Ovis aries: one gene and its partner. The protein of the gene in region 2 interacts with the protein of the main gene of each other region in a biochemical or structural test. Links are inferred from orthologs where the notes say so. Each region holds a gene or a part of one and is shown on either strand. Other genes may lie near its edges. The genes, in order: TLK2 and ASF1B.

Region 1 (9,056 bases), on a different chromosome or scaffold from region 2:
AGGGACAGTTTATATTTCCTACTTTAAGGATGATCAGGGGCTTATGGAAGACTAACAAATAGTGCCTAAAAGCCAAATAAACTACTAGCTGTTGGCCCAACTCAATCCTCATCTGAATTCCTTCCCTCCCCACCCACTCCTGACCTCTAAAAAGACTAGCTGGACAGCCAACCACACCAAATTGTATGGTGTGGAAGGTAAGTGCCTCTTAGCATTTAGGAAACCAAATAATATGCCTCTCCTCACTGCCTGGAGTCTTAGCATTGGCACAGCTGGAAGGCAGAATTCTAAAGATAACAGATCGACCTCTGCAGATTTCATGCTGGCAAAATCAGTTTTGTGAAAAACTATTTTAAACCCTGCTGTGCTTCTGATGTAAAAACCTAAATGTATAGCTGAAAGGGGATCATAAGAGTTGAGAGGCAGAAAATGTTCAGATGATGGGCTTTTTTTAAGAAGTTTAGTTTTACGCTACTTCTTTTAATAGTCGTTTTAAAATTATTAAGACCATTGACTTAGATTATTATTTCACAATGAAAGTGTCTAGCCAAAACATACACTGAAAAATGAAAATATAGACAGAAAACTCACAAGGGGAGCATGGGGAGAGAAAGGGAAAGAAATAAAAATATAGATGAAAGAATCTATAAAAAGAACAGCTCATCCAAATGCCACTAAAATCTCCCTGAATCCCAGGTTTTCATGGCTTTTAATCCTTTAATATACATAATTTAAATATGAGCTTGGATAAATAACAAAACCTTGATTCTAAAATGATCTTTTAATGTACTTATAACTTTTTTGTGGTAATGGTGGGGAAGAAGTAAGTTCTTGTTTGTGGTGAGGAAAAATGGAGATTGCTGGACTTATCCAAATGCAAAGTAATAATTTGGTCAAATAATGAGAATACAGGAGACATTGTCTCTTAATAGTTTAAGTTTAGCATATCACCTTCTAGGTCTCAGTTTCCCCATCTATAAATGAAGAAACAGATTAGTTCTTCACCCATATAATAAGCATTCTAAGTCCCTATCAAGGACTTTGGGAGGGAGAATAGAAGAGGGTTCTAAGATATTGCACTAAATCGTGTTTAAAAAACAAACATAACTGCATATGCCATCATGATAAAATCCTCTCAAAGCCTAGTCTAAATGATTCTCAAAGCCTAGTCTATGGGTTACTTGTTTAAAAGCAGTATTCCATGCAGAAGAATTCTGGAACAACCAAACGCTGCAAATGCTCACTTAAAATTTGTTATGTCCTCACATTCTGTCTGTATCTTTCTGGGACATAATATGAGGATGACAGTGAGGACGGTGATTAGAAACACCAATATGGAGAATTTTTACTTTTTAAACCTTCACAGAAACTCAAACAATTGAATTTTCTCAGTAGCTTCCTTTCTACCTTACTCTTACCATGAAAAAAAAAAAAAAAGTCTTCAAATATAAAGTAGAAAAACATCATAAAATGAACCCCCAAGTAAACATCATCCAGCTTCAGTAACTGTCAACATGGCAAATCTTTGTTCATGTACACCCCTCTTAATCTCCCCCAGATTCCTTTGAAGCAAATCCCAAACATTACATACTTTTATGTAAATGCCAAACTACTGACTTTTATGGCTTAGCAAATACAGCAACAGGCAGCAATGAGATAGCTAATTTAAATGTGAAAAATCTTCACCTTTAAAAAAGAACAAGCTATCAAATGAAAAAGTTCAAATCCAAGTTCTAGCGAATTTATAAAACAGAGGTATAGACCTGCTTCCAGAATTTCCAACAGCAGATATTTTTGTATCATTTACTGACAGGAACCCACAAAAACCACCAAGTGAATAAACACTGTAAGTGTAGCTTCTATTTTAAACCTAGAATCTCAAAGTTTTAATTTAGGGACTGATTTTCACTATAGGTACCATCTCCGCAAACACTAAGGAACAAAGGAGAGTTGGGATTGTGTGTACACGGGGCTTTTAGCAGGGCATGATCGACTCTTCAGTATGGTGGGGGTGACAACAGGGCTGATGTTCCCCTCTTCTCTGTCTGCTTCCCATCAACACCCTCATTCCCAGTCACTGACTGGCTAAGGGCCAGGGTCGTCTAGTCTCAAACATCAGTGATCTGGCCAACTGACCTTGGGATTTAACTGCATGCATTTCCCCTCCTTTAATGCTACAGGAGGCTTCTCCATGTTCAGAATCAAACATTCCAATGTGTGGCTTTGTGTTACCACCTCAGAAATGAAAAGGAAGCTCTGCTAACACCTTTACAATCACAAAGTCAAATGCGTGAGCCACAGGTATCTTTCATGGTGCTTACTGTCAAAAGGAGTAGGAGACGGAGTAAGACAGGGCACACAACAGGCAGGCAGAGCCAGCTGGGCAGAGTGGCTGGGGGTGGGCGAGTGACAGCAGATGGGAAGAAATGCGGCCCACACCTCTTGGAGCATGGCTGCCAGAAATGGATACAATTCTTGGCAAATCATGCTCACTTTTTCCTGTTTAGATCTCAAGGGATGCTGTGCTTATTTTACATCCTAATCTTTAAAACTCTTGGGTTCTTCAGTCCACCATCTTCAGGCAACGTTAGAAAAAACTTCCTCAACCCATCAACTCAGGAAGAGAGAGACCTGCATTTGAAATTCTGAAAGGAAGTGAGGGCCAGTCTTTACATACACACGAGTAACCTCATTCTCTATGTACACGGTAGGGCCTGACCTACGGAGCAAACACAACTCAAAATGCCTGGTCACGCATAATCCCTCTCTCAATGGTTTTTAAGAATAAGAAGAAAAATTAAGACAAATTCATGTAAATACAAAGAGTCAAACTGCTGACAAGACAGCAAATATTTGGAGAGGAAAGTCTACTATGATATACAGCATTTCTGCCTAAGCAGACAGAATATAGTCTAATGAACAATCACCAACACTCCAGCACAGCATAGCCACACCTCCATCTTTCAGACACCTACCAGTAAGTACCAGCGCCTTGTGACGTTAGCTCCATACCATCCACTGAATTGTAGCTATCATCATCCATTATCTTGGAAAGACCAAAATCTGTGATTTTTATCTCTCCACATGCTGTACCATTTACTAAAAGAATATTACCTAAAAAGATAAAAATCTTCATGAATAAAAAAGAGACTTACTAGGAAAAGCCAAGGTAGTAATAACAGACAAGAAGAGGACAACTGGACTCCAACTCTTACACATAAGAGCAAACATTTAAATCTCTGCAATAAAACATTCTGGACTCTGGATGCTAGAGGAGAGTCGTAAGTATCTGGCTGCAAATTTCTCTTTTCCAAGAATCACCTGCTTAATGTGCCAAAACCAGCACTATGAGCAGTGGAAAAAAATAATTAACTAGCCCAAGTAAAATATCATTTGTATGGTTGGTCAAAAATAGTGGGAAACTTTCATCTGAACTTTCAGGACGGATCTCTAAGCCACCCTGTTTGGAACAGTAGTTTGGGAAGGGTGGTGTGGAATCAAAGAAAACATACACGGGAATCTAAGTTAGTACCACAGTGCCACCTACAGCTCCTGGGCCAGGAAAATGTAATGGATTCAGTAACAGAAAACCCAATCACACAGCAGCCATCTTTTAAAAAATCACTTCCTTGTAATGAATTTTTTAGTCATTTATTTAGTCATTAAAGGGGCTTCCCTTGTGACTTAGCTGGTAAAGAATCTGCCTGCAGTAAGGGAGACCTGCGTTCGATTCCTGAGTTGGGAAGATGCCCTGGAGAAGGGAAAGGCTACCCACTCCTGAAGAATTCCATGGACTGTATGGTCCATGGGGTCGCAAAGAGTCAGACATGACTGAGCAACTTTCACTTTAGTCATTAAAAAATAGTGAGATTTAATATGTAGCTATCAGAAGAGGATGGCAAAGTTAACTGTCCCCACCAGGAGGTAAAGGGGACTCTTCCCAACACCTAAGCTCAGCTGGATAGAGCTGTCTGAAGAGCACACAGGCAGACTTCTAAGCAACAGCTGAGGAAGACAACAGACAGAAGTCAAACTGCTCTCTCCCCTGCCAACAACTATCAAAGTTAGATAGTAACCATACAAAAAGATGGAAAACTCTGCTCAGAATTTAATGAAATGGGGGGCATACTTGGAGAATCATTTGCTAATGTGAGGGCACTTATCAAAGAGACTTGGGGTAGAAGGATTGCTGTGCGGTGTGAGTAATGGGGAAAAACAAAACCAAGCTTGCCAGAGCAGTTCTTTCTTAATCGGACTGACATCATGAACTGCCCTGGCTCTAAAGACAAGGGCATTGTTTCTCCAGAGCACTGAATACGACCCAACCTCCTAAACCCCGTGCTGTGCAGCTAGGACTCTTATTCCCACACCTACCCAGCAATTTAGAGTCCGATTTTATTAGGCCTTTCTGGCCCCCACCAAATCCCGTAACTTTATAAAATTGAAAGTTACTTATAAGACCAAAGAAATACCACCAATACTGTCTCCTAAAAATTAGACATACCTGGTTTGAGGTCATAGTGTATGATAGGAGGTTTTATTTCATTTAAGTACTTTAAAGCATTCACAATCTGCATGATAATGGATCGGGCTTCTTTCTCCGACATTAATTTGTGCTGTTTCAGGTAGAAGTCCAGATCATTTCCCTCACAGTATTCTAGTACTGTACAAAACCTAAAGACAAATAAACCAACACTTGATTGTGGGATAAAAGCAAGCAGATTAAGTCTAACTAAACAAGCCCCAGTGAAACCATCGGGTAATTCAGAGGTCCCCAACCTCTGGGATCTAATGCTGATGATCTGAGGTGGAGCTGCTGTGATAATAATAGAAATAAAGTGCATAATAAATGTAATGAGCTTGAATCATCCCAAAGTCACCCCCCACCCCCTGCCCCATCTGTGGAAAAATTGTCTTCCACATACACGATTGGTCCCTGGTGCCAAAAAGGTTGGGGACTGCTAAGGTAGATGGCTTCTCACTTCCTTCTTCTTTGCTCTTTAAAATACTCTTTTACTCTCTATTCAGTATTAGCAGTTTACAGGAAGTAAACCGCCAACTCTTAGTGAAGAGTGTCTGCACCCTTCACATTGGAACCTGCTCTGCTAAAGTTCACCCAGGGCACACGGCTTCTTGCATCAGACTTCAGGAATACGGGCAGGAACTGTCATGTGTTTAAGCTGGACACTTACTCTACTATCCACAGGATGCTCCCTTTCTAAACAAGTATGTTAGGATCAAATACACAGTCCTCACTGGAAACATTTTATATGACCCCGGGTGCTGACAGTAAGAAAGAATCTAGGGTTTGCCCAGGTCCCCATGGCTGACTGCATACTACTGCTCCTAGCAGACTGCATATACTATGATTTTTCTTTGTTAAATACACAAGGTATAAAAGAGCTTTTTAAAGGACAGCATCTGTAGTTCTAACAAATGTATCATTATATAGTATGAGTTCTTTCTTTCACTTATACCAGTACGTCACACAGATCTAAAGCTGTGCAGCATTCACGGTATGAAGGGTCATGTGTCTGTCTTCCAAGGCAGTCATAAACTGAAGCTAGGCTTCCTGAGAGATGAATACCTTTTAAACTATTTTAAAAGCAGAGATATTACTTTGCCAACAAAGGTCCATCTAGTCAAGGCTATGGTTTTTCCAGTGGTCATGTATGGATGTGAGTGCCGAAGAATTGATGCTTTTGAACTGTGGTGTTGGAGAAGACTCTTGAGAGTCCCTTGGACTGCAAGGAGATCCAACCAGTCCATCCTAAAGGAGATTGGTCCTGGGTGTTCATTGGAAGGACTGATGCTGAAACTCCAATACTTTGGCCACCTCATGAGAAGAGTTGACTCATTGGAAAAGATTCTGATGCTGGGAGGGATTGGGGGCAGGAGGAGAAGGGGACGACAGAGGATGAGATGGCTGGATGGCATCACCGACTCGATGGACCTGGGTTTGAGTGAACTCGGGAAGTTGGTGATGGACAGGGAGGCCTGGCGTGCTGTGATTCTCGGGGTCGCAAAGAGTCGGACAAGACTGAGTGACTGAACTGAACTGAAGCTGTAACAATGTGGTGAAATCACTCAGGGTCTTGCTGGCAAATAAAAATTACTGGAGTATTTAAAACAGAGAGGCTTTAATTCAGAGAACTAATCACACAGATGATGGAAGAGCTGAGAAGACAAAGTGGCCAGTGAGCACGCTAGAAATCATCTAGAGCAGGAAGTCATTAGCACCCTAATGCCAGAGGGTGGAGATGGTGCAATCAGAACCAGGGTCACCAGGGAACCTGGAACCATGGGGGGAGGAGTCTCCACCCACCACCACTTCTGTCTCCCCATTGAATTAATCCCATTGAACAACTGACAAAAGAGCCTGGTGAACACAGCCTACAAGGGCCAACTCATCTAAGACCAAACTGACGCAGGACTCACATTCAGGGCCTATGGGCCACTGAAGACCTTCAGGAAGCAAAGCAACAAAATGTGGACACACACAGTCCCAAGGGACCCCCAAACTGACCAACAGCTCATGCTTCTTACAAAACATAGCACGTCCCAACATGCTAGCATTCTATTTGAGAAAATAGGCCTAGAATGTATCAATTTCTCTGATCTGATATGCTGAAATCTGAGGCATAGACTCTCAGGCTTAGTGAATTTATTTTGGACCCAATGCAAGCTGAAAATAAAATCTCATTTTTAATACTCAACTCTCAGACAACTTTCTAAAACAAAGATTTGACTTATTTTGGGGAAAAATTCACCATACACACAACAGGAAGAACAAAGTAAACAGCTCAAGAGTAGTGCAAAATCAGCTCAATTTCTCATATTAGTTAAAAGTGTGTATACAATTCAAAACAGCAGATAATCCAAGTCATTGTATTTATTTTTGAAATGATTTTTGCGCTTATATTTGGGGGGTATGTGTGTCCTTCCTAGTATTCAAGGAACTTGTTGAAAGCAAAACAATAAAGCTACCCTGTGGAGACCTGCTTTTTAACTCGCTGTTTTCCTGAAACCCACTCCACACCACGCACAGCACTGTGCTGACTGCACTTGACTGGAAAGGGGAAATCCCTGAGTGGATGTTTCCAAAGGGAATTATGGTCTCCCTTTGGGGCCATTTCTAAATGTGGATGGGCTCTCACACATCAAGCTCTGAGACAGCCGCCATCTGGGAGGGGGAAGGAAACCCCTGCGGGCCAGGCCTAAGCATGCTTTCCTGATTCAATTCAGCCTCCAACAGAGAAGATGTTTACAAATGCTGAACTATTTCTAAACTCCTGGATAAACCAAGAGATCAAGAGCTTACCTATACCAAGTAATGAAATACAACAATGCCTACGATTATTAAAGATTTCAGACAAGTCATGTAGCTTCTCTGGTCCTCAACTCTCCACCTACAAAGTGAGAAGGCTGGACTGAAATCCCTATAGGCCTCTGAACCAACCTATATTTTCAGATGTAGCATTAGACTCTGCCACATTTCATTCTAATTCTATGATGAAATCATACTGCTAGAACTTCAAAAGGCCCATCAGTGTTCATCAGCCTCACTTGACTGTTGCTTGTCTGTGGTATGCCAGCACCAATTTGTACCAGTTTCTGAGAGCTGAGAGTTAAATTTCAGAAATCTTGTGAGCTAGTTTTTAAGCCACTGGTAGGATAAATGGATAAACAAAAGGTAGTATTTGCATACAGTAGAATATATTTAGTCATGAAACAGAATGAAGTACTGATAAATGACACAAGAAGAACCTTAAAAGAATACCATGCTAAGGGAAAGAGGCCAGCCACAAAAGTTCACACACTACATGATCCATCCTATGAAAGTCCCAGAATAGCTGATCTATAGACACAAAAAGCAGACAGGCGGTTGCTTACAGCAGCAGTGGAGTGGAGGAAAAGGGGGATTACAGAACAAGGTACAGGATTTCTTTCTGAGGTGGAAAAAATGTTCTAAAACTGACTACGGTCATGGCCTCAACGTACCTATGAATACTGTGTGCTTTTAAATGAGTGAACCATATGGTATATAAACCTATCTCAATAAAGCTGCCCCCCCTTTTCAAAAAAACTGGACATGTTCAGAGTCTTATTTCATAGAAACTGGCAAACAGTACCCATCAGCCCTATGCCTTCCCCTCCAAGCTGGTTGTTAAGCACTGACTAGCACACAAGTGCACCCATCCTGTGGCCAAGAAATGCATGTCTTGCTGGCCCCAATCTGAATTCAAATACAATCATTTGCCCGTAAATACATTTAGCCCCCTCAGGCAGTATTTTCCGGACCCAGATTTAAATTCCATTCCCTGAGTCATCAACACACTGCAAGAAAATCATATTCTCTGCTAAGCTAGAAATGGCATAGTACTTACGAGTCAGTGTCCAGTGAAAAGTAATCATACAGCTTAACTATTCTGGGATGATCCAGTTCTTTGTGAATCCGGTATTCCCTACATGCATGCCTGTGAACAAAAGGGAAATATCTGTATTCTGTTTACAGGGAAGCATTTAACATTTTGCATTTCGCCCTGTCCTTCGGGGCTCTTCCAGGACCCTCCTGATTCACCCACTGCCCCACTGCTCCCACACAGCCGCTCCATTCAAGGCCATCAAGTCCTCTAGCCTTCCTTCACTCTGTTTTCTCCACAGGCCTCTGCCAAGCTGTTGGGAAAACAGTAGGCACTAACTTTTATCCTTTGCAAGTTCATTCTGTGATAACCTTACCTCTTTTATATTGATACCCAAACAGCAGAGGTTTAAAAATGATTAAGACAGCACTTTTTTTCTTTTCTCTGAAGCGGATACTTTCTACCTACAAATGTTTATACCCTGGGGTTCCATTACAGGGATCAATTTTGGCATGTAAACTCACTGAGTAAAAGGACTGCTGGTAAGATAAGGCAATTACAAATGCATTGGACTTGTTTTTCAATCCTACTCTTTACAAAAAAGAATTTTAAAAAAATTTAAAAAGAATGTAAAGCATTACTTTCTAAGAAAATGCTAATTTGATAAAAAGTTTGAAACTATGGGAATCTTAG
Region 2 (9,529 bases):
TAAGGCCATCCTGAACCCCAACTCTCTGGCATCCCCTCCAGTTGGGGGACCCCCATTCCTGGCTCTCTTCTGGCCAGATAAAAGGAAAAGCACTCCGTGAGACCCCGCCCGTCAAACAAAGGAAATTCCCAGTCACTGAAGGCTCTGGCAGGGGGGCCAAGTGTATCAGGGGCAAGGTCACGCTAGTACAGGGAAATCTGGCCGGAGACCTGAAACTTATTTTAGGTTCTTTGAAATTACACAACCTACCGGCTCCAGCAGCCCGGGGAGAAGTTTCACAAGCTGTGATTTTCGCAGGAAGCACACTGTCTTATACGTTGCCCTGTTCCTTGGTCTAGTGTCCCACAAGAGCACCCAACTTTGGTGCCTTTTTAAGAAAATATTTATTTGGCTGCACCGGGTCTTAGTTGAGGCCTGTGAACTCTTTGTTGTGGCATGTGCAATCTAGTTCCCTGACCAGGGATTGAACCTGGGCCCCCTGCATTGGGAGCTCGGAGTCTTAGCCACTGGACCACCAGGGAAGTCCTTCTAAAATCACTTGGCCCTTCAGGCAGTATGGACATCACATGCGTCTAAGAGAGCTCATTCTAGGAAATGAATTGGAGTGCATTTTGCCAAAGGAACACATGTCTTCCTGAGACAGTTCCTGACTGAAATGTTATTGTTTCTGCTTCTAAAACGCACAGGTGAATTAGAAACACCTGTCGTTTGAATTTACTGTTTACTCTGAGGGAGAGGGCAGTGAATGAGGGTAGGGCTGAGAGTGGATAAGGTCACCCCCATGTCTATAAGTGGTGCTACTGGTAAAGAATCTGTCTGCCAGTGCAGGAGACGAAAGAGACCTGGGTCAGGAATATCCCCTGGAGAAGGAAATGACACCCCACTCCAGGATTCTTGCCTGAAAATTCCATGGGTCAAAGAGTCAGACATGAGCAACTGAGCACTTGTCTACAAGGGCCTGAGAAATCTCCCCCCGACTGTCATTTCAATTTTCCCAGAGGTGTTTGTGGAGGCGGGGAATGGCCTCTCATAATCCTTAGACCCCTGTTCCTTATTAATCTTATCATGTCCTAAATCTAATTTGAACCGTGGCAGTCCCTTTTTTAACTTTTATTTTTGGCTTTGCCATACAGCACGTGGGATCTTAGTTCCCCAACCGAGGATTGAACCCTGAGCCCCCCCGCATTGGAAGCTTGGCATCTCAGCCACTGGACCACCGGGGAAGTCGCAGGGCACCCAACTTCGGAAGCACAGCAATGCCGGGCCACAACTATGGGGGCCTGTCACCTGAGCTCCACGCCCTTCCTCGATACGCTGGTTTCCTGCCCTTTCACAGCTGACACCCGGCCTTCTACTCAGGGACCTTATCAGGTCTACAGGATGTGGGTGGCCATTGGACTGAACTGGGCTTCAGTCAAAGCCCATTCTCTTACTTGCAGGAAGGAGTTAAGCTTACTGATTTATTTTTGCTACAAGTAGTGACACAACCCAAAATAACACGTTTTTGGATGAACAGAAAACAAGCTAGCCCTGTTCTCACCTTTCTGACACAGTTCTATCATCTGGTGTCTTTCCTTCTGGCCGCCTTCCCCATCATCAGTGGAGTCACATATGTGCGCACTTAACTAACGTGTTGCATTATGTGCTCAGTGGCTAAGCTGTGTCCGACTCTTGTGACCCCATGGACTGTAGCCCTCCAGGCTCCTCTGTCTGTGGAATTCTCCAGGCAAGAATACTGGAGTGGGTTGCCATTTCCTCCTCCAGGAGATCTTCCCAACCCAGGATCAAACCCGAGTCTCCTGCATTGGCAGGCAGATTCCTTTACCACTGAGCCACCTGGGAAGCATGACTAACGTGCTGAGGGTGGATACAAAAGGGAAATTTTAATAGAATAGGGCCTAGTGTATGCGACTGGCACTCAGTTTTCAACGCTGTTGACAACGGAGTTCCCTGGTTGCCTAGTGGTTAGGATTTCCGTCTTCCACTGCTGTGGCCTGGTTGTCAGGGAACTGAGATCCCAAATTTGGCACGGAATGGCCCAAACCCAAAAACACCTGTTGGCAAAACCTAAACAAGCCTGTGTGGGTGCAGACTGGAAGAGAGAAACGCAGGTGGTCAGGCGAATGGGTTGAAGTGGTTCCCAGTACTCAGGTCAGAAAGAAACCAGAGAATTAACCAAGGCCGACAATACTCACTCAGGAATTAAGGAGCTGAGGGACTTCCCTGGTGGTCCAGTGGCTAAGATTCCGAGCTCCCAATGCAGCGGGCCCAGGTTCAATCCCTGGTTGGGGAACTAGACCCCACATGCTGCTAATAAGAGTTCGCATGTCACAACTAAAGAGATTCCGCATACTGTGACTAAGACTCGGGGCAGTCAAATAAATAAATAAATATTAAAAAAAAATAAGTTAAAGAGTTTATAAAATCATCTATGGAAGATGGAAGATGACTAAAACAAGGACTCTTAAGCAGAGGCATCCTGAAATGACTTCACTTTTTTGAATGAGCTGTGAGGACGTCAATCACAAACAGCACAAATTCATTCCTGCTGAATATGAATTAAGGTCGCACATGTGTAACGTATGCCTAGCCTTCTAAGTAATTCCAAGGGTAAATGGATTCCATTGTTTTGACTTTATGCCTTAACTTTATCATCTAACCACTGCACAAAATGCTCCTCCACTATGTATGAAAACAAAATCCAGACCAACGGTATGATGAAAAACATAAAAAAAATTACGGTAGTTGAACTAGCAGGAGAATCTGTTTCCTGTCCCCCCCAAAACACAAACAGGACTACCCTGGTGGCACGGTAGATAAGACTCCACCTGTAATGCAGGAGACACAGGCTCCATCCCTGGTCCAGGATGATCCCAACAGGTCTCAGGGTAACCAACTCCATGCGCCGCAACCACTGAGCCCGTGTGCCACAGCTACTGAAGTCTGCTCATCCTAGGGCCCAGGCTCCACAACAAGAGAAGCCTCCTGCAATGAGACACCCAAGCACCATGACGAAGAGTAGCTCCTGCTCCCAACTAGAGAAAGCCCAAGTGCAGCAATGAAGACCCATCGTAGCCACACACACACAAGTCCCAAACAATCAAAAAAACAACAAAACAACCCCAACCCCAACAACTTATCTAGTATGCCTTTTTCTGTTTATCACTTTCCCTTTGTTCATAATACAGTTGAACCTTGGCCTGACCACAGCGTGTTCGGTGTAGGTCAGAAAATCTGGCTCTAAGACTTGTTCAGGCAGTATCTCATGAATCTCTCAACTAAACTGGGGGAAAACACACCCAATGTATTGAATACAGACCCAGGCCTTGGACGCATCTATTTCCACATGCTGCTGAGCGGGGAGAGGGAGAGAGAGTTAAAACATTTCAGAGCCCTTGAGAAATGGCTCAGAGTTGGGGCTGGGTGTTCAGATCTTCAGTTACCAGGTAATAAGGCTGACTGAGAATTTCTCCAGAATCTAAGAGACTTCTAAAGCCAGGCCTACTCCATTTGTTTGGGAGGCAGGAGACAAATCCTTTCTGCTCTGTGGGAAGAGGCAGAAAGCATGTTGACAGGTCAGAGTGAAGCACAGCCCTACAGGTACAACCAGAGAGTGTAGACTTCCAGGCCAGAGTTGGCTTTCCAACTGGAATTCTTCTGAGCAAAAGCTTTATTGTTCAGGTATAATTAATAATAAGACCCTGTTGCCCTCTTCTGTCCTGTTTATGTCTCACTTCTAAAATAGTGGGTGCATTCTTTTCCAGTTTATAGCAAAGATAAAGAACCCTGGACTCAGAACTCAGAAACAAGACCTAGTTGTGAATAATTCTACACACCAGCTGTGTGACCTTGGAAAAATCATTTTGTTTCCATTAGAAAAATAATGACCTTGGGGAAAGAAAGAACTGTCTTTAGGGATTTCCCTGGTGGTCCAGTGGTTAAGAATCCACCTGCCAAAGCAGGGGACATGGGTTTGATCCCTGGTCCGGGAAGACCTTACATGCTGTGGAGCAACTACTCCCGAGCGCTCCAATTACTGAAGCCTGCTCACCTAGAGCCTGTGCCCCTCAACAAGAGAAGCCACCGCAGCAAGAAGTCCAATGCACCACAACGAAGAGTAGTCACTGCTCACCCCAACTAGAGAAAGCCTGAGCAAAGCACCGAAGATCTAGCTCAGCCAAAAATAAATAAATCTTAAACAAAATATAACACAAATAAAAAACAATGACCAGCAGGTTGACTTTAGACTCTCCTGATTCTATAAACAGATTAATAAAGTAACAGGGCAGTAGCTTTGCAGGAATGAAAGTACTAGATAATGACCATGCAACCATTTTTAAATGCCAGGAGCTCAAACAGGCTGATTGAAACCCGATCTCCTGCCATCTGGGAACTATGAATCCCTTGAACTATTAGCTCCTTACATCTCCTGGCTTTAAAATTAAATCTTATTCCACAGGGTCATTCTACACTTTATTTATTTATTTACACCCCGCCTTGTTCCAGAAAGGATTTAACTGGGCATATTCTATAGTTAGTCATAAGTAGAATGACTCCTTGATTTAAAAACGAGAGAAAGCAGGGAGTGATCCAATGGCCCCACCCAAGCACACATCAAAACTCTTCAACCCCATGTTAGTTGGAGAAGCCCATTTGTAGGCAAACCACCCACCAACCACTGAGAACGACTAGTTTAGCACACCCTTGCCTTCCAGATCTCTACCTCCTTAGAGGCTGCCTCTTCTCTTCTAACCACCAAGTAGAGAAGACATCTAATGGAAGTACTTCCTCCTGAAAGTGGTGCCAAGACTCGCTGAACAACCTTAGCCTTTCTGGTTTTTATAGGCCTTTACTTGAAAGGTCTTTTACTCTGTCTCCCGCCTTCTCATCTGTGAGATGAGAGCCATGTCCGCCTTTTGTCACAGGGATGAATAAGCACATCTGTGAAAGCACCTTGGAAAAGGTGCACAAAAGGCTGTGACCTCCCAGATTGAAGCCAAACATCACCATGGCTCGGCCTGGCACACCCACCCCACACCGCGCAAGTCGAGGTCAGGCCATCAAAAGTGTTGCAAGCTTTGCTGCAGTGGGTCAGCAGGAATCCAGCAGGCCAACAGCAGGAACCAGCTAACGTGTGCCTGGCCATGCCACTCCTCAGATCTGAGTGTGTTCATTGAAGCCCACAGTCAGGGAAGAGGAAGGAAGAGGAGCTGGGGAGACCAGATCATCCTCAAACACTGGAGCAGGAAGCCAGGTCATGCCTCTCTTGAGGAAGTAGAGGGTTGGGGCCAGACTAAGGAGGGAAGCCAGTTTCTAGGGTATGTGTTTTGAGGTAGGAAACAAGCTGAAGGGGGGTAGGGTGGGGTTAAGTATCAGCAGGTAGGGGATATTATGGGGAGACAAATGGGGAGATAAGGATGTGTGAGGTCTTGCCAGAGGGCGAGGATCTTCACAGGGAAAATGAGGGAGGAGGCTGCGGTTTTCATATGGGACACGGGAGGGGGCTAGAGCTTACATCTCCACAGGAAAAGAGTGAGGTGGAAGTGTCTCACCACAGGGGAGAGGGGATTGGTGGGGGAGGATTGGGTGGCTGGAATGGTAGTCTGTCCATACAGAAACAGAAGATGGGGGGTTTCTTGCTACAAGGAAGATGGGAAGGCTGAGGGTCTCTGCAGGTTAAAGAACTGAGGCTGAGGTCTCTACACAGAAAACAGATGCTCAGGAGGAACGCCCAGGAGAAAGAGGAGGATGAAGTGGTCTCCATGAGGGGAAAAGAGGAGTAACCATGGGGGTGGGGTGCGGTGGGTAGTCTCCAAGGGGCGGGGTTGGGGCTGGTGGGCGGGCTTTGGTTCAAGGGAGATCGCGGTTGGGGGAGGGGGAGGGGGAGAGGAAGTGTGTTTGGCAGGGTTGGCCTCGGGGTTGTCTGCAAAGGGAGGTCGGGGTTAGCTCAGGGGAGTGGGGTCTCCACAAGGGCCCAATCTCACCGTCTGCCAGGGCCTCATTGCACTCAAAGCTGATCTCGAACCGGAAAGGGCTGTGGAAAGGGCTCGGATTCTCCAGCACCGCCACGTTCAATACTGACACTTTAGCCATCGCCTCGTCGGGTCACGGCTGAGGCCAGAGCTGGGGCCGAGCCCGCGCCTGGGTCCTGTCGGGTCAGCGGCGAAGCTCTGCCCAAACCCGCTCCCGCCTCCTCTGACCGCGATCTGAAGTGCGTATCTAGTCCGCGCGCCTCCTTCAAATAGCCGGCTCTCACCCTACGGCCAATCACCGTCAACGCTCCACGACTGCGCGAGTGCTTCCTCAGCCAATCCTGGAGCGCCGGTCGGCGCGCGCCGAGACTCCCGAGACCAATCCGTGGAGCTCCATCTCAGGGATGAGCGAGGGAGGCGGGACCGTCTCTAGGCTTCTTTGGTGTCCGCGGGGAACCAATCCCCAGAGTCTCCGACTCGGACGTCCAGGGAGGGGTGGGCGGGGTCAGAGCGCCTGGCTCTTCTTGGCCAATCCCTAGGGTCCCCGCACCAGCGTGGTCCGCGATTAGCCCCGCCTTTCCGGGAGACTCTTCCAGCTGGGGGCAGCGCAGTCAACCGCCGAGTGGTGGCGCACAGCGCTCGCTTAAGCGGGAAGGAAGGGACGTGCTGGACTTGCAGTGATTGGCAGGCAGAAATGGGGCGGAGATAAAGCAGGTTTCCTGAGAGGTGATTGGCTGAGTTGGCTGCGGGGGCGGGAGAAGAGAAGACGCGGCCGGGGATTCGTGGAAGTGGAGCGGAAGTCGGCCGCTGACGCGGTTGAGCAGAGTGTGAAGAGAAAGGAGCAGCGTTTGCGGCATCGGCATCTGTCAGCAGGTGAGCGTTGCCGGAAGTTTCTCTAAGGGGCTCCTGGCCCCGCAGACCCGGCAGGCTGGGCGTCCGTTGTGAACGTTGTGAACGTTTAACTCACCCTTGAGCGCAGACGGTGCCGCGCTAACGCGGCGCTCTGGGGCCCGGGACCCGGTAGTCGGGCCTGGTTCGAATCAGGTTCTTACTTGAGAGCCCCTGGGGAGGTTTCAGGTGGACGGCGCTGAATGGGATTTCGAATCCGGCCTCTGCCACGCACCACCCGAGGCCTCATTTCCCTGCTCATTGAACGGGGTGATGAAATTTTACTGGCCTGACTTATGACTACATAATACATCTAGAAACTTCTTTCCACTCCCAGGCGTAGGCGGGACCACCGTCGCCCCCTGTCTGGAAGACTCGAGGGGCCGCCGCATTCCTTTAGTCCGCTTCCACGGGCGTCAACAAACCTAATCTTAAACTTTTCTATAGTAGCCACGTTACATATATATATATAAATATATTAAACTTAATGTAGTATAGCCAGAATATCATTTCAACATGTGATCGGTATTAAAAAAAAACAAACACGAACCTGAGGTATCTTTATTTTGTTACCTAGTACTAACGGTTTGAAAACCTGTGTATTTTACACGTTACACCACAGCTGTGATCCGGACGCTAGGTTTTCACCGGAAATAGTTGAGGTTTCATAAAATTTACAGTTGAAATGGAGATTCACATGCCCAAGTGTTTCCCAACATACGTTAAAATTTCCCATGAACTCAATCTCATGTCGGTGATAAATTGAAATATTAATTAATGAAAGTTAAGCGACGTGGAATGTTCTGTTTCACAGTGGCACTAGCCACACTGAGGTGCTTGTCATCCCCTGTGGCTTCCGATATTGGATAGCCAAAACCAACTTCAGCCAAACTGACCTTTTTGTTTCATAAAATCTGACATGACACCCCCCACCTCTTTTCTGGTGCCTCCTTGTTATTCAAGTCTCTGCTCAAATTTCTTCGGAGAATCCAAGAGCCCCCTGGACAACATTCAAATTCGTGGAACATAAGCCTGAACGGTACATTTCAAGCCACTAGGATTTCTTATCCATCCACCTCTGTGGCCTCGTGATGCTCAGAATATTCTCTCTCTTTTTTTTTTTTTTTTTTTGTATCTCCATCTCAAGTAGGATTGAAAGGATTCTTCCCCTCATTGAAACGATTTGGCTGCAAGAAAATTCCCATTATGATTGGCTCTGGGTTCTTGGCAGTCATTGGGCATCCTTAGGAATTTTTGTGACTTGAGAAGGTCAAATTTTCAAATTATTTCCAAATGTAATTCAATTGCTTATGCATATGAACTTTGATGAAGTTGTTATATTTTGTTTTCTAGATATTAAACATTTTACTCATTACAACTTTGTAGTTTTCTTTCTGCATTGTGGAACTTTTTTTCTTTCATTCTCAGCCCCAACCTTTTCATAGCCCCTGAAAAGTTCATCAGTCACAAGTATTATGTCTCTGTCTATAATGCCTTCTCCCTACAGCTGGCTGAATAATCTTCAGTTGTAAACTAGATCATGTCATTACTCTGCTTAAAACCTTCAAAGGCTTATCATACTTAGGATGAAACTTAAGATCTTCACTGTGGCTTAGGAGGCCCTGCACAGTGGCCTCAACTGACCTCATCTGCCAGTCTCCCTCTTGTCACCACTCCCAAGCCCTCCTGGCTTTATTTCCTGTCTTTCAACACACCAAACTTGATTCCTGCTGCCTGGCTTTGCAGTTGCTCTTCCCTCTGCCTGGAACGTGCTTCCTTTAGCTAATTGCTTGTCTGTCTCATTCTCATCATATATGGTTCACCCCAGATGTCTCTCCAAAAGAAGCCTTCTTGGACCATCCTAGTTAAAGTAGACCTTCATTTATCACAAAAGCCTGCTTATTAGGAGCACTTGCTAGAATCTGTAGATATGTTTTTTTTTTTTTGCTCCGCTGCATGGCTTGCGGAATCTCAGTTCCCTGACTGGGGATTGAACCTGGGCCACAGCAGTGAAAGCCTCAAATGCTAACCGCTAGAACACCAGGGAACTCTTGTCGTCCCTCAGTAGACTGAAAGCTGGTTGAGGACAGTGATCCCACCTGTCTCATACAGACCTCTCAGTTAGGACCTCACATGTAGAAAGTTTTCAGTAGATTGTTTTTAAAAAAGAGTAAATCCTTATAAAGGGCTTACATGGTACCTGGAATGTGAAAACTACTTCATAAACAAGAAACAGCAGTGCATAGCCATCATTTTTCTTACGTAGTATTTCAGGTGTACTCACTCAGAAGAAGAAATGCTATAACAAAGTACATTTTTACTCCTTACCCAGCTTAAGAAGTGAAACATTAGTGATGCAATTGAAAGGCCGTATATATCCCTGCCTCAAACCTATTCCTCCCCTCTTTTCAGATGTAACTACAATCTTGGATTTAGTGTTTATCTTTCTGTACATGCTTGTATATCTTTGATAGGTGTCTTCGAACTATATATAGTATTGTATGTCACGTTCTACAACTTTATGGAAATGCTGCTGCTGCAAAGTCTGGAGAAAACCAGGCAGAAGCTTCCACAAGTCCTTTCCTGGTGAAGTCACATGGGACTCCCTGAGTTCCCACAGCAGAGCTGTGACACCACGTGTGACATGTCTACCGGGAAAGCTCGGCACC

The links.
Region 1: of the proteins of ASF1B (region 2) and TLK2, one has a biochemical effect on the other in vitro, tested with the Homo sapiens proteins (3 studies listed by BioGRID). The link is inferred for Ovis aries from reciprocal best matches to the Homo sapiens genes ASF1B and TLK2.

What each region holds. Positions count from the first base shown.
Region 1 is NC_056064.1:46,752,507-46,761,562, reverse strand, and holds part of TLK2 (serine/threonine-protein kinase tousled-like 2), read right to left. Parts: intron 8,478-9,056; coding exon 8,388-8,477; intron 4,675-8,387; coding exon 4,505-4,674; intron 3,115-4,504; coding exon 2,976-3,114; intron 1-2,975. UniProt on the Homo sapiens protein: Serine/threonine-protein kinase involved in the process of chromatin assembly and probably also DNA replication, transcription, repair, and chromosome segregation. Phosphorylates the chromatin assembly factors ASF1A and ASF1B.
Region 2 is NC_056058.1:9,898,009-9,907,537, reverse strand, and holds the start of ASF1B (histone chaperone ASF1B), read right to left. Parts: upstream 6,214-9,529; 5' UTR 6,094-6,213; coding exon 5,985-6,093; intron 1-5,984. UniProt on the Homo sapiens protein: Histone chaperone that facilitates histone deposition and histone exchange and removal during nucleosome assembly and disassembly. Cooperates with chromatin assembly factor 1 (CAF-1) to promote replication-dependent chromatin assembly.